Cricetulus griseus: one gene and its partners. The protein of the gene in region 3 interacts with the protein of the main gene of each other region in a pairwise test. Links are inferred from orthologs where the notes say so. Each region holds a gene or a part of one and is shown on either strand. Other genes may lie near its edges. The genes, in order: Ccm2l, Acot7 and Camk2b.

Region 1 (3,646 bases), on a different chromosome or scaffold from region 3:
TTGCTTATTTCTAACTCACAAACAGGCAATAGCTTAACAGATGCCTAAGTATCCTCTTTGAATCTGGCTGGCAGGAACATCACCCTCCCCACAGGGAGGTGTAGGAACTGGGATACCCCACCTGGACTGTCACCAGCTGGTGTCCTAGCTCTCAATCTGGGGTTTCGCTGCTTCAGCTAGAAAAGGGGAGCCACAGAGACTGCTCCTCCTGCAATTTTAGGAGGATTAACTTAGGTTGTGGGAGTAGAACTGAGCTTACGAGCACTCAGTAAAGCCACTGCTGTTGCTACTGGAACTCTCCTGTCTCCCCCAGGGCTTTGTGTCTCCCATCAGAAGGCTGGTGTTTCCGAAGGCTGCACGGCAGGCTGCCTTCAGGAGCAATGTCAGTCGCAGGCCCCTGCATTCTATGCCCCTTTATCCTCCTGACTACCTCATCGATCCCCACATCCTGCTGTGTGACTACCTGGAGAAAGAGGTCAAGGTGAGCATGAGAAGGTGGGGGGGGGGGATTCACACCAACTCCTGACACACCCTGTGTCACATGAAGGAAGCTGTGACTCTTGGGGAACAGCCTCCTACCTCATAGCCACAGGCTGCATATCCTCAGCAGGTGACACCTACCCACTGAGCCCCCAGCGTTCCTGTCCTAATGTGGGGCTCAGAACCTACCCCCACAGGAGACGGAGTGGGAAACTGTGCTGTGTTCCCCAAAGCTCCGCCTACTCATGAGATTTTTGTCTGCAGTCTCCGGTTACTCAGTGTCCAAGTTAAAGGCAAGGGAGAGGCTGGGCATGTGACTTAGTGGTAGAGCACTCACCTGGCATTCTGGAGGCTGCCTGTCCAGTACAGGAGGCAGGGCTGAGGTGCTGGTATTGGGAGGAGCCACAATGGAGGACTCTCGTACTACTCAAAAGCTTTACTTCTATTTCACAAGCACCATGAAGGAGCACTAGGGAGGGAAACAGGTCCTCATCAGCCAAAGATTGGTGTGAGGTAGGATTAGGGCATTTAACAAACAGGCTACCTAATCAAATTTAAATTGCAGATAAGCAATGATTATTTCTTTCGCATAAGTATGCTCCAAATGTTAAATGGAACTAAAAATACAAAAAAAAAAGAGCTTAAAAACAAAATTGTTGTTTAACTGACATCTTGTGTTTTATCTGGCAATCCTATAAATAGAGAAAAACCAGAAAATGAATATGTTTAAAAACCAAGAGCTAAAAAATTACAGAATAAAAAGAAAAGATGTGAGTGGTGAGATTTGCCCAGAAAACTGCAATTTAAAGTAACAAAAAGTTAATTCTTATACTGAATAATAACATTTAAATGATAATGCTGCTATAACAGAATGGGTGGGGAACCACAGGCTGACTGAGAGCATCATCTTTTTCTTTTTGTTTATTCTTCTCTCATATAATACATCCTTATCACAACCCCCGCTTCCTTCAATCCTCCAGTTCCCTCCTCCCCTACCTCTCCTCTCCCTCAGATCCACTGCTCCTCTGTTTCACCTCAGAAAAGAACAGGCCTCCCAGGGGTATTAAACAAACACAGCGTAAGATGCATTAAGACTAGACACAAACCCTGGTATCAAGGCTGGACGAGGCAACACGGAAGGAGGAAAAGGGTCCCAAGAGCAATCAAAAGAGTCAAAGGCACCCTCACTCTTACTGTTAAGAGTCCCACAAAAACCCCAATCTAAACAACCCACAGCATGTGCACAGAGTCCTGGGGCAGCCCCCTGCAGGCTCTGTGATTGCTGCTTCAGTCTCTGTGAGCACCTGTGAACTCTGATTAGTTGATTCTGTGGGCTGTGCTCTTGTGGTGTTCTTGACCCCTCTGGCTCCTACAATCCTTCCTCTCCCTTTTCCATGGGGTTCCCTGAGCTCTGCCCAAAGTTTGGTTGTGGGTCTCTACATCTGTTCCCATCAGCTGCCAGAAGAAGCCTGTCTGATGGTGATTGGGCTAGACACTGATATATGAGTATAGCAGAACAGCATTAGGAATCAATTGACTTTTTTTTTTTCCGTCAGTTTTGTTTGGTTCTATCCTAGTACTCTGAGTCATCCAGCTTAAGGTTCCTGGCTATCCCGGCAGTGTTGGGCATGGGCTCCCTCTTGTGATGTGGGTCTCAGGCTAGAGCAGTCATTGGTTGGCAACTCCCACAATAAAGATTTTTATTACCTTTATTGTTTGTTTGATTGAGACAGGGCTTCACTGTGTAGCCCTGGCTATCCTGGAACTTACTCTGTAGACCAGCCTGGCCTCGAACTCACAGAGATCCACCTGCCTCTGCCTCCACCTCCTGACAAGAGGGCATCATTTTTTTTGAAAGAAATGATATATTAATTCAATGCTTCTTTCCATTTAATCTACAATGTGGTTGTTAAAAGGATTAATAATGTGTGGGGTTCAGGGAGCCATTGGGCAAGAAAACTCCCAGGCTTCCTTCAAGATTTAATAGTAGAGTCTGGGGGCAGGTGTAGAGAGAGGAATGAATGGTTCAATGGGTAAATCGCTTGCTGGCTAATTTGAGGACCCAGGTGAAAATCCCCAACCCCCTGCAAAATCAGGTGCACACAAAACATGCACCTGTGACCCTAAAAGACCCACACAGTTGAGATGGGAGGTGGAGACGGAGAATCCCTGAGAGCGCGCACACACACACACACACACACACACACACACACACACACACCGCCTCCGACAATGTGGAAGGCAGTGCGCATCCCCTGACTTCCACACAGGTGCTGTGGCATATGCCTGCACTCACTCACAGGAACATGCACACACATAAACATGAAAAATGGCAGAGTCTGGCCTAGCATGCAGAGACACTCCAAACCTGATCTCCAGCATGGCAGTTGGGCGGCGGGCACTAAATTAGTGACTTTTGCTTCCTGCAGAACCTCATAGAGTGAGATGGCCATGTGTTAGTGCGTATCAGCTAGCTGTTGGAATGTGGGCTCTGGCACATGTAATCAATCAAGCCTTCTCTCTACCCCACAGAGCCTGATGTCACCCAGGGAGGTCTTGAACTTGCTATGTACCCAAGGATGACCTTGGACTCTTAAAGTTCCTGCTTCCAACTCCCAAGTACTGGATTAGCATGCACCACTACAACCTGGCCAGTCTTACCCTTTCTTGCTATAGTCCTGGGCCAGACTTTTAGTTAGCTATACTGTGTTCAGCCTTTTAATATTGAAAGCAAGGGTGAGTGGATGAGAGAAAATGTACATATGTGTATATACATATCTGTAAACTCAGAACTAGTCCTAGCTACAAGGTTATATTAGTCAAGGTTCTTTAGAGGAATAAGAATGAGAGAGAGAGAGAGAGAGAGAGAGAGAGAGAGAGAGAGAGAGAGAGAGAGAGAGATTGATTAGAGTGACTTACAGGCTATGTTCCATCCAGTTCAGCAATGACAGTCTTGTAACAGAAAAGCCAAGAATCTGATAGTTGTTCAGTTTATGAGTCTCAACTGGTCTTCAGTCTTTGAGGAAGTCCTGAAGAATCAGGATCTAATACTATAGAAGAAATGCCTCTGCAGCAGGATAGATGAATTTGCCAGTGAGAGTGAGGGAAAGCCAGCAAAAAACAAAAGCTCCCTTCTTCCATGTCCTTTTACGTGGGCTGCCACCAG
Region 2 (3,646 bases), on a different chromosome or scaffold from region 3:
TTACATACCCATCAGGCCACCACCCTAGACAGAGGGTCAGAGCTGTAGGAGCTGCTGGGGCACTGGGGCTGACCTGCTTCTCCACTGGCTTAAGATGCCACTGATGGATCAGAGACTTCTAACGTGCCCACACCTATCTGTAACCACGTGGGTCACTGTGAACCGAGACACTCGTTGTTTGTTCTCTTCATCTCAGTGTGCCTGGACGTTCTGGGTGCCTATGGAATGGCAGAGTGTGAAGTGCCCTGCTTCTTCTGAGGAGCGGCAGGTGAGGAAGAGGTTGAGAGATTCTAGGGCAGCCATTCACAGGGTAGCCTTTGAGTTGGGAGGAAGCATTGGTCAGCAGTGTTTGACGGAGGTCAGCGCCACGCTTCTGAAGCACTCGATTCAGGCCTGGCCAGTGAGTTCTCCTCCAGAGTAAACCAGGGTCTCGGGCTCCCGAGTAGGGTGCTAGGTCTCTATAGTCCACTGCCCGTGGGTCTCTATGTTTACTCACCACATAATGGGGACCCCTGCTTTGCCTTTAGGGTTTCCAGACTGGGAGCCATGTAGGCTTTGGCCAGATCTGCAATGGCACATGAAGATTAATTAGAAGGAGTGCCGTGGAGGAGGAGGTGGACCGTTCTTGGCAGCATCTCTAGAGAAGAGACCGAGGGTGAACAAGCTGCCATTGTAGGAAGAAGTGTGGGCAGGGGAAGGCCACCATGGGGTATGGAAGGTAGAGGTCAGAGCAGGAACATCTCACGGTTTAGACCACCTGTAGGCTGCCTCTCCCCACCTGGTTAGATCTGGTTCTCCAGGCAGGCCTTGAGCCTGCAGGGCCTGGGTGATGCTCTGTGGCTCTCTGTCACTGGGGCTGAGGATTTTTGGCTTGGCTATCTGTGTCATCCTGTTATCGAAGTGACCAGTCGGGTGCCAGCTAGTGGATTCCTGTGTCTGTGGGGATCCCCCGAGGCTTGTGTGTGACATGTGATGTGGCTCTCCTGGGTTTGGGGTGTTCGTTGTGTTGATGGCATCCCTGACTCTCCAGACCTTCCCATCTGCTGGTCCTCTGGACTTAAACTTGGAGTTAGATACTGAACTTCCAGGCTCCGATGTTAAACCATGAGCAGCCATGGCCTTGCTGTGGTCCATGGCAAGAAATGGGTTTCGTGGTTGGCAACAGAAGCACACATTTCCCTTTGTCCTTTGGGATTCATAGTGTGTTTGGAGAACCTGGAATTTGCCTCTCATAGCAGTGTGCGATAGCTGGCCCTTCACACAGTGGGCCCTCGTATGACCCTTGGACTTTGGGGACATCTTGCTGGCTTCCTCTTGTCCCATGTCTCACCCTACAGCCCAGTTCTCAGTGGGCGTTTAGGAGAGGGCAGAATCACTGCAAGATCTGGGGCGACCAGTCTAAGCTGGTGACGGTCCCAGGATGTGGCTGTCACAGGTGTGTTCACTGTCAGATGCTTGCATGTGACTGAGCAATACAGCTTGTATGAGGCGGCCTGTCGCTGACCACCTGGCTCCTTCCTTCCTTCCCTCCCTCCCAGAAATGGCCATGTCTGCACTGAAGCCCTCTGTGAGTATGAAGGTGAACGCGGATTGGAGCTCTCTGGTACTTGTTAGCAGAAAGCCCTGCTGCCTTTACTGTCTCTCTCTGGCTGTCTCAGTGTGTCCTGCAGGGCCTGTCTGCAAGCTAGGATGCTAGATATGTGTTGTAGGGCCCCGCAGCCAGCACTGGTCCCTGCTGAGTAGACCCTGTGACCCATGTGGCCTGGTCCAGGAGAAGACTTTGCTGGAGATGGGAGGAGGGTTCTGGTCACACATCAGTCAGAAGTGGCAGCAGCCAAAGCCCCCACAGGCCAAACCCATGACAGATGGGAGTCATGACCCTCGGCAAGCACTAGACTAGGCCCTCTTCTGTTGTCTTTCTTCTCACCGTTCCCTGAAGGTCAGGTTCTCTTGTGTCCATTTACAAGAGCAGAAGTGAGCACCCTGAGACCAGAAACTGCCAAGGGTTGAGAGGGGCAAGGCCCGGCCGTGGAGGGGTAGGGTGGAGGGGTTGGGTGGTGGCAGGGAAGAGGCATGAAGCCTGGAAGCAGAAGGCAGACTGAAGTACCATGTGCCCCAGGGTTTGGTGGTGTGTGTTGACGTAGACGTCACTCGGGCGTTTACAGAGACACTGGCACTGCACTGAGGTCACAACCACCTGACACCATGTTGGTGCTGAGAAGAGGTGACCTGGGTACAATCCCAGCACACTGTCCAACAGCTCAGAGGGTGAAACTTGAGCAAACCTGACAGACAGACGCATGACCCCACCAAAAGCTTAGCGTCATGGCTTATGTCAATCCAGCATAAAGATTGTGAGCCTCTGGATATTCCTCCCTGGTGCTCAGAACATCACAGTGGGGCAGCTGTGTGGCCAGGGGACACCACCCTGCCCTGGAGGACAGGGAGGGCAGTGTGTTTGACCTTCACCTGAGGCAGAGCTGAGCAAGCTCACCCACAGCCTGGCTGACAACCTGCCCGTCCTGGCCCTATGTCAGGAGGCCCAGACCCAGTGGTGGCTGCCACAACTGCTGGGGCAGCACTGAGTGTCTGCTCAGGACACAGATGACTCACCTTGACTAACAATGGCCACACTAATAGTTTGTTGTCATATGTCCTTGTAGTTGCTACTGCCTGTGTCGCCTAACCCATTGTCTTAACCGTCCTCAGTAACATGGGTTTCTCACTGACCTGCCCCTGCCTACTTGGCGCCCCATGGGTACAGACTGGGCTGGCACCGCTAACGCAGTGGCTGCATGTACTCTGCAGGCTGCGTCGTCACCATCTCTGGACGCATGACCTTCACGAGCAACAAGTCCATGGAGATTGAGGTCCTGGTGGATGCTGACCCTGTGGTGGACAACTCACAGAAGCGATACCGGGCCGCCAGTGCCTTCTTCACCTATGTATCCCTGAACCAGGAGGGCAAGCCGCTGCCTGTACCTCAGCTTGTGGTGAGTGTCCTAAACCATGGGCTGCCCTTAGGTCTAATGAAGTCTTGAGAAGAGGCACCCTGTAGGCTGTAGGCTATAGGCTGGACAGATGGGTCAGACCTCTGAGCTAGTCACCATGGCTGGCACACTGTCTGGAGCTCCTGGCAATGTGCTCATGTGCTGGAGTGATGTCTTAGAAACATTTCAAGCCAACTGGGAGTTGGTGGTGCACGCCTTTAATCCCAGCACTTGGGAGGCAGAGGCAGGCAAATCTCTGTGAGTTCGAGGCCAGCCTGGTCTCCAGAGCAAGTGCCAGGATAGGCTCCAAAGCTACACAGAGAAACCCTGTCTCGAAAAACCAAAAAAAAAAAAAAAAAAAAAAAAAAAAGAAAAACATTTCAAGCCTTGTGTCCTCCAGCTCATCAGAGGGCCTGGGAGGACCCAGGGGTGGGAGGACCCAGGAGTAGGAGGACCCAGAGGTGGGAGGACCGGGGGCGCACCCTCCCAACATGGATTGGAACTTTTATGTCACCTGATGCAAAGCAAGCTTCAGTTCTATGGTACTAGGGGCTCAGTCAGATGAGGACAGGGTTAGCCCACTGGCCATCTGTGTGCCTCCGACTCCTCATCTGTGCAGGGTGACAAGCACAGTATGTGTCCTGTGAGATAGGGAA
Region 3 (3,746 bases):
TAAGCTCATACTTTTTGGCACAATGAGGTTTCTCTTTCTGCTTGGGTCCTGTTGATGTCAATGCCAGGATTCCTGCTTTCTCAGCTAGACTCTTCTGACTGGGACCTGCACTTGTCCATGCATGTCTCTTGTTCTCTAGCTGTCTGTCTTGTAGTGGAGGCTAGGTTTGGACACTCATAGGAGGAACTTTCCAGGAAGCCTGTTTTCAGCTGGCAGCACTCTGTCAAAGCTGCCTTTTTGGGAAGACCCCTAGCTGCCCAGCAAAAAGCACTCATTTGCTCCTGCATCTAAGACACTTGCTGAGATGCCCTGGGCTTGTCTTTGGTTGAAATCCAAGTCTACCAAAACTCTCGGGGTTCTTGGGGATTAGTAAGTGGAAAGAATCGAGGCAATCTCCTACCAATGCCATCCAAACTGGCTGCAAATTCCCCTCCCCAAATACCAGGAAGAGTCTAGTTGGGGATGCTGGCCGAGGGGAGCTTTGTGGGAATCTGCCTGTACCCTCCTTCCTTCAGAATCTCTTTCAAGAGAGACTGGGAAGAAAGCGAGAAAGAATAGCGGCTTCTCTTCCTGGCCAGAGCAGAGGCAAAGGGCTGGACCAGACTATCTGGGTAACAGGAATCTGTGACAGAGCAGAGCAGCCCCTGTTTTGCTGACTCCAAGGCCCCACCTGGACTCCAACTGTTCACCTCAGGACAGAAGACACCTTAGTCACCAATCCCAGGAGAAGCAGGGAAGAGGCTTGGGACCACTGCCAGCAAGCTCTATCCTCTCCCCCTCATCCCATTCCGCCTAGGAGACTCATGGGCAGCTCTGCCAGGCCAGGCAGGAAGGGTCTGGCAGCATCTTGTGGGGGTACGGGGAACGGAAGAGCCCAGTGGAGGGCAATACACGACCCTTCCCAAGTGGGGTGCAGTTCCCTCTTGCTGTTTAGAAGAGTCTGGGTTCACTGTTCAACTGCAGTAGCGTAAGAGCCGGCCCAGTGGCTTGTCGGTGCAGGGCTCGAGCCTAGAGGGGCAGACGCAGTGCGTGGGCACCGCGTGGTGCAGTCCATGTGCTGGGACAGGGCGCGGGCACGGGTGGGATTGCATGGTGCGGGCGCAGTGCGGGTGCTGGCGCGGGCGCGACGAGTGTGCGAATGGAGCCGCGGTGCGGGTGCAGGGTGCGGGCGCAGTGCGCGTGCAGGCGCGGGTGCTAGTGCAGGTACAAGGCGCAGATGCGGTGCGTGTGCGGGTACAGGCGTGTGTAGGGTGCGGGTGAGGCGCGTGCAAGGGGCGGCGGGCGGGGCGGGCGCGGCGGCGACAGCGGCGCCCGCGCCTCTGCGCGCGTAGGTGTGCGGCGCGCTCCTGGCGGGGACAGAGCGAGCAGATCTCGCGTGCGCTCGCCGCCCGGCGCAGCCCAGCCCGGCCCCCGCCCGGCGCCGCGAGCCGAGGTGTCTCCCGCGCCCGCGCCCGTGTCGCCGCCGTGCCCGCGAGCGGGAGTCGGAGTCGCCGCCGCCCGAGCGCAGCCGAGCGCACGCCGAGCCCGATCGCCGCCGCCATGGCCACCACGGTGACCTGCACCCGTTTCACCGACGAGTACCAGCTATACGAGGATATTGGCAAGTAAGAGCCTTGGCGCGCACCGGCTGTCCGCAGATCCCTGGGAGCGGGGACCCCATCGCCGCCGGCTCCGCGCGCACTGCGGCCCCGCGCGCCCCCGGCTCCCTCGGGCTGCGGGCCCAAGCTCACTGCCCCGTGCCACCCGGACCCCCAGCCTCGGGTTCTGGGTCCCCGCTGCCCCACCGCAGCGTGTACGGCTCTGCCCCATGCCATAGCTTGACAGGGACCGAGACTCGGGGATCTGGACTCGGCGTGGCGGGGGCGGCAGCAGGTGTCCCCCGAGCGCCGGGCAGACGTGACGCATTTGGCGGCGGGGAGGTCAGAGACGAGCGGCACGCGGGGACGGCTGCCAGGCCTAGAGTGCCCGAGGGGTCGGCCATGGCCTCAGGGGGTCGTCCCCGGTGTGGGCGAGCTGTCCTCACCCCCACCCGAGCGGCGGGCGGCAGCGGTGGCGGACCCGCTCCGCGCCTGCTCCTCGCGTGGCCCCATCTGCTCTGGGGGAGCAGCGTGGGAGCAGCTTCTGCCTTGGGTCCCTTGGGGAATCTGGGTTCTGGAGGATTTTTTCCCCCAGATTCTTCTGGAAACAAGAATTTGGAGGGGGTGGACGAGGTCAGAGAGCCAGGATCAGGCCATGGGGTGGGGGTGAGCGAGTGAATCCAGGAACCAGTTGGGCCTCCGATTTCAGGGTCATCGAGGCAGACAGAGGTTGGCTTCTGAACCGTTTTATTTTATTTAATTTTAATTTTATTTTCTGCTGTGATTGGAGGGCTGGGGAAGGGACTCTGAAGGCGTATTTCGGGTAGGGCCTCGTGGGGAACAGGTGCCCTGGCGCCAAGACGCTGCCCCGCAGCATGAGCATAAGGGGAGGAAGCTATAGTTAAAGCGTCCAGACCTGCCTTTGCCCCTGGGGTCGCCGAAACACCAAAGCCCCCAGGGGCCTCGTGTCAGGCCTGGAGCTTCCCTCTGTGATTTAAGGTGACTGCAGGGGCATCCTTAGGTACTAGCTGCATAACTCCAGAGCTGGGTCCTCCTTCCCACTCCCTCTCCCCTCCCCCATCCCTCCTGCACCGTGGGGGCGCTGGCGAGATTTCCTCTTACACATCCAGCCGCAAATCCTTTTTTTCCCTTTACTAAAAAAGCGTCTGAAAGCTGTGGTGGGCGAGGGACGCTGATCATTGATAATTGTGGAGTGCCCAGCTGGAGGAGTGTGGGGGTGTGTGCATTCCCCACTTCTAACTGCACGTGCCCAGAAGATTTGGGTCAGGCCTGGGGGAGGGGGGGTAGAGTGGCAGGAGGAAGCCTATGCTGGATTGCAAGGACCTAGGCTGGGTGGACTTGAATAGCTGTCTCAGCACCCCTTCTTCAGTTCCTGTCATACTTGGAGTCATTGAAGAAGCTTCCAGTAGCCGGTGGGGGCTGTGCTCTGAGAGGAAGAGGTGATGGGCTGGGAGCCCTCAGATGGGGGTGAGGCAGCCTCGAGGTTGGGAGCAGTCCTTCAGGCCTTCTTGATGCTTTTGAAGAGGGCTCTTCCCAGCTAGGGGCCCATCTCCTCCACAGCTGCTTCTTATGCTGCCAGGGCAGGTGGCAGTAGTCAAAACAGAGCAGTGGGAAGTCTTTGCTTCGGAGGGAACCTTCTTGTCACCTTCTCCTGTGTGCCCAGGAGCCTGTATCCCTCCCTGGGCCTCTTGGTATCTTCCAAGGAGTCCGTGTCAAGAGACCATAACCTCCAGATCACCTAGCTGGTCTGCTTTTGCACCTTGGAGCAAGCTGTCCTGTCTGTGCTGAACAGCAGCATGAGGTGGCCGCTGCCACCCCCGCTGGGGAGTTGAAACTGAAGGGTGGCATTTGCAGTAGACACAGGTGAGGACTGAAACTGCCAGCTCTTCCCTAGGTACAAAAGAATAAGCCCCTCACCCAAGTGTAGAGAAACCACACAGGTGCCAGGGTGAGACCCCAAGCTTGGTGTGGAGGGGCCAGCTAGTCAGGAGTGGTCAGCTCAGCCCAGCATACCTTTTGTGGAGACTGCTGGATACCAGGCTCCAGGCATGGTCAGGAGAGTGGTGAAGGGCCTTACCATGCCCACCTCCACTGACTACGAGTCTGATCCACCAACTCTGGCTTTGGCAGGTAGGAAATGATGACAAG

The links.
Region 1: the proteins of Camk2b (region 3) and Ccm2l interact in binary tests that used the Homo sapiens proteins (3 or more experiments, as listed by UniProt). The two-hybrid records come from large-scale screens. The link is inferred for Cricetulus griseus from reciprocal best matches to the Homo sapiens genes CAMK2B and CCM2L.
Region 2: the proteins of Camk2b (region 3) and Acot7 interact in binary tests that used the Homo sapiens proteins (3 or more experiments, as listed by UniProt). The two-hybrid records come from large-scale screens. The link is inferred for Cricetulus griseus from reciprocal best matches to the Homo sapiens genes CAMK2B and ACOT7.

The regions. Positions count from the first base shown.
Region 1 is NC_048599.1:26,937,014-26,940,659, reverse strand, and holds part of Ccm2l (cerebral cavernous malformations 2 protein-like), read left to right. Parts: intron 1-313; coding exon 314-481; intron 482-3,646.
Region 2 is NC_048595.1:4,109,232-4,112,877, reverse strand, and holds part of Acot7 (cytosolic acyl coenzyme A thioester hydrolase), read left to right. Parts: intron 1-1,538; coding exon of another isoform or gene 1,539-1,603; intron 1,604-2,808; coding exon 2,809-2,993; intron 2,994-3,646. UniProt on the Homo sapiens protein: Catalyzes the hydrolysis of acyl-CoAs into free fatty acids and coenzyme A (CoASH), regulating their respective intracellular levels.
Region 3 is NW_023276807.1:98,786,861-98,790,606, forward strand, and holds the start of Camk2b (calcium/calmodulin-dependent protein kinase type II subunit beta), read left to right. Parts: upstream 1-1,539; coding exon 1,540-1,604; intron 1,605-3,746. UniProt on the Homo sapiens protein: Calcium/calmodulin-dependent protein kinase that functions autonomously after Ca(2+)/calmodulin-binding and autophosphorylation, and is involved in dendritic spine and synapse formation, neuronal plasticity and regulation of sarcoplasmic reticulum Ca(2+) transport in skeletal muscle.